Linked DNA regions of Arabidopsis thaliana. The protein of the gene in region 3 interacts with the protein of the main gene of each other region in a biochemical or structural test. Each region holds a gene or a part of one and is shown on either strand. Other genes may lie near its edges.

The links.
Region 1: of the proteins of PGGT-I (region 3) and GG1, one has a biochemical effect on the other in vitro, tested with the Arabidopsis thaliana proteins (one study listed by BioGRID).
Region 2: of the proteins of PGGT-I (region 3) and RAC3, one has a biochemical effect on the other in vitro, tested with the Arabidopsis thaliana proteins (one study listed by BioGRID).

What each region holds. Positions count from the first base shown.
Region 1 is NC_003074.8:23,415,613-23,419,365, forward strand, and holds GG1 (Ggamma-subunit 1), read left to right. Parts: upstream 1-1,636; 5' UTR 1,637-1,650; coding exon 1,651-1,884; intron 1,885-2,395; coding exon 2,396-2,448; intron 2,449-2,588; coding exon 2,589-2,633; intron 2,634-2,708; coding exon 2,709-2,793; 3' UTR 2,794-3,369; downstream 3,370-3,753. Other genes in the region: APG1 (S-adenosyl-L-methionine-dependent methyltransferases superfamily protein), read right to left, coding at 204-362, 439-745, 840-1,390. UniProt on the Arabidopsis thaliana protein: Guanine nucleotide-binding proteins (G proteins) are involved as a modulator or transducer in various transmembrane signaling systems.
Region 2 is NC_003075.7:16,670,314-16,674,066, forward strand, and holds the start of RAC3 (RAC-like 3), read left to right. Parts: upstream 1-1,878; 5' UTR 1,879-1,930; exon of another isoform or gene 1,931-2,107; intron 2,108-2,470; exon of another isoform or gene 2,471-2,518; 5' UTR 2,519-2,541; intron 2,542-2,605; exon of another isoform or gene 2,606-2,652; 5' UTR 2,653-2,862; coding exon 2,863-2,961; intron 2,962-3,265; coding exon 3,266-3,353; intron 3,354-3,437; coding exon 3,438-3,547; intron 3,548-3,649; coding exon 3,650-3,713; coding exon of another isoform or gene 3,714-3,753. Other genes in the region: BGAL11 (beta-galactosidase 11), read right to left, coding at 1-26, 109-214, 307-401, 483-626, 718-810, 900-966, 1,052-1,164, 1,263-1,358 and 1 more. UniProt on the Arabidopsis thaliana protein: Inactive GDP-bound Rho GTPases reside in the cytosol, are found in a complex with Rho GDP-dissociation inhibitors (Rho GDIs), and are released from the GDI protein in order to translocate to membranes upon activation.
Region 3 is NC_003071.7:16,499,822-16,503,574, forward strand, and holds the start of PGGT-I (Prenyltransferase family protein), read left to right. Parts: upstream 1-1,749; 5' UTR 1,750-1,844; coding exon 1,845-2,087; intron 2,088-2,175; coding exon 2,176-2,251; intron 2,252-2,345; coding exon 2,346-2,404; intron 2,405-2,499; coding exon 2,500-2,639; intron 2,640-2,837; coding exon 2,838-2,893; intron 2,894-2,985; coding exon 2,986-3,062; intron 3,063-3,164; coding exon 3,165-3,210; intron 3,211-3,467; coding exon 3,468-3,592; intron 3,593-3,692; coding exon 3,693-3,753. Other genes in the region: AT2G39540 (Gibberellin-regulated family protein), read left to right, coding at 1,045-1,126, 1,239-1,420. UniProt on the Arabidopsis thaliana protein: Catalyzes the transfer of a geranyl-geranyl moiety from geranyl-geranyl pyrophosphate to a cysteine at the fourth position from the C-terminus of proteins having the C-terminal sequence Cys-aliphatic-aliphatic-X (CaaX).

The DNA.
Region 1 (3,753 bases), on a different chromosome or scaffold from region 3:
GTTGGCAGAATTGAGTTTGGGAATCGAAGTTTGTAGAAAATTTATCGAACAAGTAGCATAGATATCTCAACATGAAAATCTAGTAATACATGTAAAGAAAGAAGGTTAATGATATTCCGCATGTTCATAGATAGGACTCGAATCTTTCTTTACCACAAGAGGGGTTTACAATGATACAATGATCATGTCCTAGAAGAGAAGGATCAGATGGGTTGGTCTTTGGGAACGATCTGATCCTTGATCCACATGTAGATAGGGATTAACACAAACCAGGCAGCTGCTAGAGTTCCCAGGAGGAAGCGTCCCAAGAAGGAGAAGGGGTTGTTGACAGGCTTCTCTACGTCCTCTTCCTTTGGACCAAGCTGCAGCATTTGAGTGATAAGTTTAGTGTATCAAAGAGAGAAGAAAGTAAAAAAGGTGAAGTGGGAGGTAAAAGACCTGGAGAGGAGAGTCACCGGAGGCAGGTTTAACACCAGTGACAGAACATCCCATGATAAGGCCGTGCCTGCGAACACCACGGTACCACTTGGGGCCAATCCTCTTGAGCTGAACGTCCTTGAAACCGGCATTCTTGAACCACTCAATGTACTCTTCCTCCTTGGGGAAGAGCATCCAGACATCAGAAAAGAAGCGAGAGAGCCAGAAGGTTGGGTAGACAGGGCCGATGAGACACGCTTTGCCACCGATCTTGAGAACCCTGTACGCTTCCCTTATTCCCCTCTGCGGGTCCGGCCAGTACTCAATGCTGTGTGATGATGAGACACACAATCAAACCCACCGGAAAGAAGACGATTATAAGAAGAAGAAGAAGAAGAAGAAGAAGAAGAAGAAAAGGATACCTTCCAGCAGAAACGTATCTGTCAGCATAATCGGTTGGAAAAGGAAGATCCTCAGCATCTCCCTCGACGATCTTGCATTCTTTCAACGGCTCCTTTTGCTTTGCTTTGGCCAGCTGATGTGGCGACTGGTCCAGAATGGTCACATTCTTGGCCTTCACTGTCTTGACTATGCCCAGAGTAGTGAAACCAGTTCCGCCGCCGACATCGACCACTCGCATGTCCGGATGGCTGAGATCCGCTGGCTCAAGAGCGTCGTCTCTCATATCCTCGGTCCAATGCCCAGGATTGATGACATGGTCGTATACGATGGATAAGAACCTGTAGAACCAGTAAGCCTCCTTCTTGTGCTGAATGAACCTAGGTTGCGCCGATGGCCGGGAAGACGACACGCTGCTGCTGCTGCATCTAGTAGCCACCGAGAGTCTAGGTGTGGAGGTTCGGGTAACTGAGAGTAAGGTCGGCCGAGGAATCGATCTGGCATGCAAATTGGAACCAGGGGAACCTAAACCTTTGGGGAAGGTAATGGCCCCGTTGAGCATCAAAGAGGCCATCGATGACAGATCCACCAAGTTGAGAAGAGGGAAGAAGAAGCTTATCTATCACCAATTCTCCGCCAATCAAAAACACAAACGAGAATGAGAGTGTGACTAAACCCTCTAACTCTAACAGAGTCAGTACTGACTCCAACCACATGTTTATGTACGGTCACGTTGTTTGTTGCGACAACACATATCCCTTTGTTGAGCCCATGGGCTCATTTGCAAGAATTGGCCCAAATAATAGTATTGGGCGTTTTGGCATTTTTCTGCAAATGGAAGGGAAAAGTCGATTTGAGTCAGAGAGAGAGAGACTTCGACGACAATTCAAACTTGTACGGACTAAGACCAGACTCTCTCTGACGTTGTCAGATCTGCGACCTGCTAGCGAGAGGATGCGAGAGGAAACTGTGGTTTACGAGCAGGAGGAGTCTGTTTCTCACGGCGGGGGCAAGCACAGGATCCTTGCAGAGCTTGCCCGCGTTGAACAGGAAGTCGCTTTCTTGGAGGTAGCTAAACTAACTCGTATCTCTTTCAAATTCCGACGTAGGTCTCTCGTGGATAGCTCAATTATCCTTTTTAGATCAATTGTTACAACAATTAGGTAAAGGTCGCTAAGATTGTTTCCTGTGAAAGCAAAAACCAGTATGGCAGATCTGTTCCAATCAGAAGAGCATGGTAGTTCTCTTGACAATAAGTGGCACCATTTCAGTCAGTCTTGTTTATGACTCTATGAATTGTATTCCCAAAATCTAAATCTGCTGGGTTCTCTTTGGATCCACTATTGGAATGGTTCTCTGTTGATCTTATTCTTAGGGATGTGCAAGAATACTTTTGATCATAGTCCAATTAGTATCATTCTCTCTTGGTTATCATCTATCGAGGCATGTTAAAAGTTAACCTTCTCCCAAGTTTCTCTGTTGCACAGATAATGTGTTTGCCTATTGTTCCTACTAGTGAGCTCTAACACTTACTAAAAATAGCTTTACTCTCTCTTTCTGTTTCATGTACTATATCCAGAAAGAGTTGAAGGAGGTCGAGAACACAGATATTGTATCAACCGTGTGTGAGGAGTAAGTATGGGATACTCAACCTATGTTTTTTTTTAACGCTTGCAAGCAACTGTGTGCTAGCTCCTGTAGGTATATTATCTGGATTTGACTGAAACTTGTACGTTGATTGGTGATCAAATTGATATTCCCTTGGTTCGCAGGCTGCTATCTGTCATCGAGAAAGGACCCGATCCTCTGTTGCCACTGTGAGTGCTTTTTAAACCTTGAAACTCTAGTGTTGGTTTGGACTGAATAACTGATGGATGTTGTGGTGCTGGCAGAACCAATGGACCTTTGAACTTAGGATGGGACCGGTGGTTTGAAGGACCAAATGGAGGAGAAGGCTGCAGATGCTTAATACTTTGATTCGCTAGACAGAGTAATGTGTTACATATACTAGTTTCTTGCTAGGATATCATTTTACATGGGATCCAAAATGGGGCTGTAGCAGAGAAAAAGCGTACAGATTAATGAGCATTGGAATTGCATAGAACGGCTTAGTTGCACCTACGTAAACAGTATTATATGTATATGTAATGTATGGGATCCGGATCTGACATACGAGTAATGGAGTTTCAGGCTTACAGCTTCTCATCTTCTTATTCTAGATCTTGTTGAAAGAAGCTGAAATGTGCATAGTGATATTTGGGGGCTAATAGAGTAATAGCTAATGAGGAAGTGGGTACAATCTTGAAGACCGTTAAGTGTGTCTCTCTTTTTTCTTTTTAGATAACTTTTGGCCACATCCACCCTCCATGATACACACACGCTAGTTTCGAGGATCAGAATACATACATACCTATGTTTATTATATAGATAGAACGATAATGGAACACAGAGCACATGCCTCATCTGTTGTCTTTTTATTATTACTTATTACTCTTCTCCTCCACTTCTGTATTATTACAGTCTGTTAAAGTAGAACCCCCTTTTGTTTTTTTCTTTCTATGTCTCAAAAATTAAAACAAGTTATGAGGTTTAAAAAAAAAATTGAGAAATGTAGAGGGTATTAGTAGAAGTGATTTACGGTAAGTTTATTCGACAGCTAAAAAGATAGTTTATGCATTCCAAAATATTCCTCAAATTTGTGATGAGTAAACAAATACTGGTAAGGTGGGTTTTCTGACAACCTTTGGATATACAGTAGTATGTCATCTGTTTTCATTGCCTCATTGGTCAAGATCAAAGTTGATGACCTCATTAGAGCTCCTTCTTCTCCCATAAATAAAAAAAAATTGATCAAAGTTTGTAGTATGAATTTGTTATATAAACAGAAGAGAAATTAACACAGAGATGTGAGTTGGTCCAAAAGAAAAATGATTGAGC
Region 2 (3,753 bases), on a different chromosome or scaffold from region 3:
CTTCCAAAGTTAGTCCCTCCGTGGTACTACAAGATTAAAGAACCATTTTGAGAATTTTGACAATCATTTTTGCATATATGGTTAACTCGAATGGATCATAATTTTTACCATGTAGTAGTTGACATGGGTTCCGTTCTTGGAGAAGAATCGAGCAACTGAATACGCGATATCTTCTACTGATCTTTGAGTTGGCGGATCACCAAACACGCGGAACCTATTGAAGAAATTGGCAAGATATTCAACACTTATATGAATGAACCTAAGGTTTTTACATGTTTAATTCAAGAGTAAGAAAAACAAACTCACTGAGTAGTCCAATTCTCAGTCCATAAAGATGGTTTGTTTTCTCTGTTTGGACCGGGGAAAGTATCACCGCAATGTCTTCCATTACAAGCATTGATCTGTTTCCACAGTGTTTTCAAATATTTTAAAACTTTCTTCCTCATTCGGATAAAACACAATCATGTAAAAATGAACTTTACCATAGGATCAGGAGCGTCGTTCTGCTTGCACATAACCCATGGGATCCCGAGTTTCATTGAGTCCACCAAATTAGATGCCCATTTAATGTAGTTTAACCCGTCTTGTTTATATGCACGTTGAACCGCGCTATATTCGTTTTCTATCTGCAATTCATATTCATTCCAAAACTCATCATTTTATAACATTTTTCAAATCATATATAAATATATAGGTTTCTCTTTTCTTTGTTGTCACCTGTCCTAATATAATGGGGCCTCCTTGTGACGCAAACAATCTTTCCTCCTTCATTTTGTCGAGTATCATCCGTACATACCTTTCTGTATGCTCCTGCAATATTTTTATGGTCATATCTTGTAATATATCTAATTGTAACAAAACACACATTGACATATATATAGTAATTCTATGTATAATACCTTGAATTGTTTATTGTCTGTACGGAAGAAAATTCCAGGAACTTCTCTAAGCCAATAAGGAAGTCCTCTGATCATCACAAAGAGATCATATAAAATGTTAAAATGAAGATCTTGAGAACGCCGAAAAAGAAGAAGAAGCAATGCATTATTACCCATGAGTCCATTCAGCTTGGATGAACGGTCCAAGCCTTAAGGTCACATACATTCCATTCTTTTGAATCAACTTTATGAACTTCACCAAATCAGCTCGTCCCGAAAAGTTGAACTGATGAACGCAACACAAAATACATTATGAATCCTAAAGATTCATGCATGCGTGTTTTATATGTTCTATATATAGATCAGTTTTTGGTTATGAATTACCTTTCCTTGTTGAGGCTCATGTACATTCCAGAAAACGTATGTCTGAATCGTGTTCAAACCGCCTTGCTTGGCTCTCTTGATGATACTTGGCCACATCTAAACCAAACCCAAATGACACAATAATCTCAATATACAAAAAAAAAAAAAAAACGTTTTAGAAAAACAGAGATTATGTGATTCAATAAATACTTCCGGAGTGCTTCTCGGGTAATGAATAGAGCCAGAATAAAGAAGCTCTCTTTTGCCATCGATGATCAAAGAGGTTCCATCATATGTCACCTCCTTATTACTCTTCTTCTTCTTCTTGGCGTCCTTCTTGGCCGCGAAGGAGGAAGAAGACGAGAGGAGAACGACAAGAACAGCTGTTAAAAGCCATCGATCAAGAGAATGTTTTCTCATTGAACTCTCTTCTTTTTCTTTTTTGAATTAATTTTTGGTGTCGTACGTAGAACAAGAAGCTAAGTTCTCTTGGAACCTCGTCCTTGTCGGAGGAATAAAAAACAAGGAGAGCTCAAATAACAAGCTTTCAGAAAAGAGGATGATATAAGAGAATGTTTCGCACTCAGGTTTTCAGGTTTCCGGAGAAATTTACGCGTCTGAAATAGAATCCACCGTTGTAACTTTGAAACTCTCTTCATTTTTCCTTTTCGATTTTTTTTTTTTAATTTGTTTTTGCTATTTTTAAATGTTGGTTTCACCCTATTCTTCGCCTATTATGTTGGACATAACATAACAAATTAGTGAAATTACCATTCGTTTTTTTTGGGTCCCCATAACAGATTCTTTAACGGTCAATAAGTGTTTTTAAAATTAACGGTCAATAACTAGCTAGACAGATTCAAAAGGTAAGCCTTTATACCGTGATTGGTTATAAAAATATTAAATATTGACCTTAAGTTCACGTTTTTTTTAGTGTCTCAACATTTATTTCTTAGAGAAGTTGTATGTACATTTTTAATGTTTACTTCAACATACCGGGACAAAAATATTATCATTTAACATGTAACAGAAGAATATGTATCCAAAGGAGGCTGATCAATAAAAATTAACACTCCAATCATATTGCATTGTAAAACCAGCTATATTTTTTATTGATATTTAAACCATAGTTGTATAATCCTAATGACACATCGGAAAAATCCTCTAAACCAGTCAAAATTTAGCTAAATTTTTTATTGATATTTAAAGATCAATCTAAATATGTATAGATTTAGGCATTTAGTATATGGGCTGCATAGTATTAGATGAAAACGAAGTTTAAAAAAAAAAAAAAAAAAAAGTACATAGAAATTATTATTATAATTTTCATCCCATAAATTTTTGTAGGGTCTTATGTTGGGAAACGCACTATCTAAGAAGAAATGCTATTTTATAAAATTTTAGTAAAAAGAAGAAAAAAAAGGAAGAAGAAGACCAAGAAATTGAGGTGCATGTGAGGATGAGTAGTAAAAATTAGGAAGACTCTAGTCTGGGAGAGACTTTCAGCAGCTATTTCTTTGTCTTCTTTCTCTTTAAAGAACCTCACTCTCTCTCTCTTTAGTCAAAAATCCCCAATTCGTGAACAAATTAGGGTTTTTGAAGTTTGAAGAAGGAGAGAAAGATGAGTGCTTCAAGGTTTATCAAGTGTGTCACTGTCGGCGACGGTGCTGTTGGAAAGACTTGTCTTCTCATCTCCTACACTAGCAACACTTTCCCCACGGTTAGCTTTAAAGTTCTCTTCTTTTACTTTGATTTCGTGAAATTTTAGCTTGGTGAAGTTGGTTTTGTTGTTGAAGCTTATGAGTTGGATTTAGTCACAAGTATTTGTTAGGTTTTCTTAAAGTCTTCTTCTTTCTGCTACCTTAGTGAATGTACTGATGTGATCTTTAGGATTTGAGAGACTCAGAGATTCATGTACCGTAGCAATGTTGTTGATCTGTTTAATGATCTTAGAAAGAGTGTTAGGTAACTTTCTGTAAGGAGATTTTGTAGCTGATGTTTTAGTGGAATTTTCTATGTGACAGGATTATGTGCCAACTGTGTTCGATAATTTCAGTGCCAATGTGATTGTTGATGGCAACACTATCAACTTGGGATTGTGGGATACTGCAGGCAAGTTGTTACCTTGGATTTTTTTGTCTTTTGAATTTCCTCCTCTTCCAGAGAGTCATTTGTGTTTTTGACTTGGTGAAACAGGGCAAGAGGACTACAATAGACTAAGACCTTTGAGCTATCGCGGTGCAGATGTCTTCTTACTTGCATTCTCACTTGTCAGCAAAGCTAGCTATGAAAATGTTTCTAAAAAGGTTTGATCTGTGGTCTTCTCCTGAAACTTCTTTCCTGTTTTATTCAGTTTACATTCAGTGATTCTGATAGAATACATTTGGTATCTTGCTTTTGATTCTTAGTGGGTTCCTGAACTGAGACATTATGCTCCTGGTGTTCCCATCATCCTCGTTGGAACAAAGCTTGGTTGGTTTTTTCTTAGCTCAACTCTTAATCGCCTGATTAT
Region 3 (3,753 bases):
TTGTATCTACATCTAACTGAGAAAAAAGAATGTTTTTCTTTGTCATATTATTGTTCTCAAATTCTGATTATACAACTTTTGACATCAAATCATAATTATGCAATCAAACAAACAAACCAAAAAAGAAATATGCGACTAGCGTAATTTTTGCGCCACAATGTATTTTATATGCATAGCAAATCATTAGAATCCTAGTACAACTGTACAAAGTTCGAGTTGGACACCTAGCAGCGATAATTCAAACCATGTTTCCATCTAATGTAACAGTATAGACTTAGTCGTCTATCAATTTTAGGTGCAATCATTCGTATTAAAAAGAAAACTTAGTTTTTTTTTCATACTGTTTAGAGGAACAAAATACATGTAACAAGAGGTACATTTTTGTTTGAGTTAAATTTTACAATTTTTGAATATATAGTCAACGAAGACCGAAAAAGTTGAGTCAATTCCTAAGAATCAATCTGCCACATGCATCGCCGTGCTTGAAGGGCGGCTCACTGTCTTCTTGCTTATTACTACAGTTAAATCTTTTTTTTTCAACATCTAATGCTATACTTTTAATCTATAATATATATTAGATGTGACTTAAGGAATTTCAATAGTTATACATAATAATAAAAATGAATATTTGTTAGTGTTACAAACTGTGTGTCATAATCATCATTCATCAGGATTTCAAAAATATCTCAAAATTGTTGTAAGTTCATGTAATTCGAAATGAATGTGCACTATAAGAAATAAATTTACAATTTAAAAAATGCTTCAATACTGGTTACAAAAAAAACTTTCAATACTAGTATTATACTACTTACTTAGTCAAAAAAGTTTATGAATATGGTTTTTTCTGTATGTTAATATTTTTAACTGAAAATAGTACCGACATAACAAGTAAAGATATCTTTATTTAAAGTAACAAACATTAATTTCACTTCAAATTCTCACTATTAAGGATTCCTCTCTTTGTAGCCACATTTCACCATCACTACTTTGTTTTCGCATATCTTTAAATTTTGTATACGTAGCAAACTCTTTCGAGAAAACAAGATGAAGCTCGTGGTTGTACAATTCTTCATAATCTCTCTTCTCCTCACATCTTCATTTTCTGTACTTTCAAGTGCTGATTCGTGTAAGTGTTTACTTAATCTAGTTAATAATTGTAGGTCATGCATGTATCATTTTGAAACAAGTTTTCTGAAATTCTAAGATTTTACATATATATGTGATAAATGAATTAGCAGCATGCGGTGGAAAGTGCAATGTGAGATGCTCAAAGGCAGGACAACATGAAGAATGCCTCAAGTACTGCAATATATGTTGCCAGAAGTGTAATTGTGTTCCTTCGGGAACTTTTGGACACAAAGATGAATGTCCTTGCTACCGTGATATGAAAAACTCCAAAGGTGGATCCAAGTGTCCTTGAACGTTCTTTGAAGATCCTCATCACATACATATAACTTCTACGTACTATATGTGTGGAAATATTAATCACATTCTATGTTTGAAATATATAAAATAAAATCAATGCCCCCAATGTTGGAAATCTTCAATGTGATATCTTAATATATATCACGAATAAAAAAGTTTAAATTTCTCAATCTCATTTTTAATCTTTAATCTAATTTCTTAACACATCAACGAATCTTTAATCTTTAATCATGTAGATAATTATCAGAGCACCTAAACATTGCGCCGTTTTGTGATTATACAAAGTAACATCGTGCTGTTTTTGACTTTTGAAAACCACAGATCCAAAAACTGTTTACTTTCCTCTAAGAGAAAGCAAAGCCGAGTGAGTCCAAGCGAGTTTTGAGAGATTCGTTGACTCACTACCGGAGAACGACGCTATGTCAGAGACCGCCGTGTCAATCGATTCGGACCGATCTAAGTCGGAGGAAGAAGACGAAGAAGAGTATTCTCCACCGGTGCAATCATCTCCGTCAGCGAATTTCGAGAAAGATCGACACTTGATGTATTTGGAGATGATGTACGAGTTGCTTCCGTACCATTACCAATCTCAGGAGATCAATCGTCTTACACTCGCTCATTTCATAATCTCGGGTCTTCATTTTCTCGGCGCAAGAGACCGTGTTAGTCTCTTTCTCCTCTCTCTCAAAGAATCGATCTTTGTTTTTCCCCTGAATCTGATTTAGTGAATTTCATCTATAATTTCTGAAGGTTGATAAAGATGTTGTTGCAAAGTGGGTTTTGTCCTTCCAGGCCTTTCCTACTAACAGAGTTTCACTGAAAGATGGTATTTTTCTTGAATTTAGTTAGAAGTATGTTTATGAGCAAATTGTTAATTAGTTAGTGATCAATGAATGAGATGTTCTTGTTCTTCTCTGCAGGAGAATTCTATGGTTTCTTTGGTTCAAGGAGTTCTCAGTTTCCCATTGATGAGAATGGGGTAATTATAAGTCTATATTCCTTATGCTTTATATGTTACAAGATTTATCTTTGTTTTGCATCTGTGTGGGCTTGACAGTTTAGTTTGTTGCGTAGGATTTAAAGCACAACGGTAGTCACTTGGCAAGCACTTACTGTGCTTTGGCTATTCTGAAGGTCATTGGACATGATCTCTCGACCATCGACTCAAAATCATTGCTAATTTCCATGATAAACCTTCAACAGGATGATGGAAGGTATTAGTTCTTAGAGCTTAAAAAAGTAAAATGCATTTTATAATGCCATAAGTTTATTACTTATTTTCTTTGTTCTAAGTCGTTTAGGCTAGCAATATTCTCATTTACATGGTGCAACAAGTTTGGCTTGTCAGCATATAATGATTAAATAAGCAATGGGGTCTGAATTGTGTTTGATACTTTTTTATTTTGCTACAGCTTCATGCCTATCCATATTGGAGGTGAAACGGATCTTCGATTTGTATATTGTGCAGGTAAGGAATAGCTACCTAACAGGATTTACATACCATGTCTTTATACTTTACGTAGAGTATCAATCTAGTTTTTTTTTTTTTTTGTGGTTCAGCTGCAATCTGTTACATGCTGGATAGTTGGAGTGGAATGGATAAGGAGAGTGCTAAGAACTACATATTAAACTGTCAGGTTTACTTCTGATCTTGTAGTTGCTTTTGTCTTTTTTTCTTCCATTGATATTTGTCAATTTCTGTGTTGAGAAGACATTCTTGTGCAACATTCTTTGTGCAGTCATATGATGGTGGTTTTGGATTGATCCCTGGTTCTGAATCTCATGGTGAGTTGAAAACAATTTTTCTACTATCTCACAGTTGATTTTTTCCATGTGCAGTCCAACTAAGTGGCGCATATGTTATTACTGAATTGATCATTGAGGACACTTTAGATAATTTAGTTCCTTCATCTAGGTTTCTACTTCAATGGCAACCCATAAAGAAAAGAAGTTTACTATGTTCTTACGTTATGAGGGAAATGTGTTTAATTGACTCCACTCGTGTATGATGCTTACCTACGTTCTGCAACTTAGTTATGCAGGTGGTGCCACTTACTGTGCTATTGCATCCCTTCGGTTGATGGGATACATTGGAGTTGATCTGCTGTCAAATGATTCATCCAGTTCAATAATAGACCCTTCATTACTTCTCAACTGGTGCCTACAGGTACTGCTTCATAAAATCTGTTAACTTTCACCTCATAAATATTACCTTTAGATTCGTAATGGCCTGAGTGATCTGAAATTTTTTCTTACCTTGCCTGTAGAGACAAGCAAATGATGGTGGGTTTCAAGGTAGGACTAACAAGCCAAGTGACACATGCTATG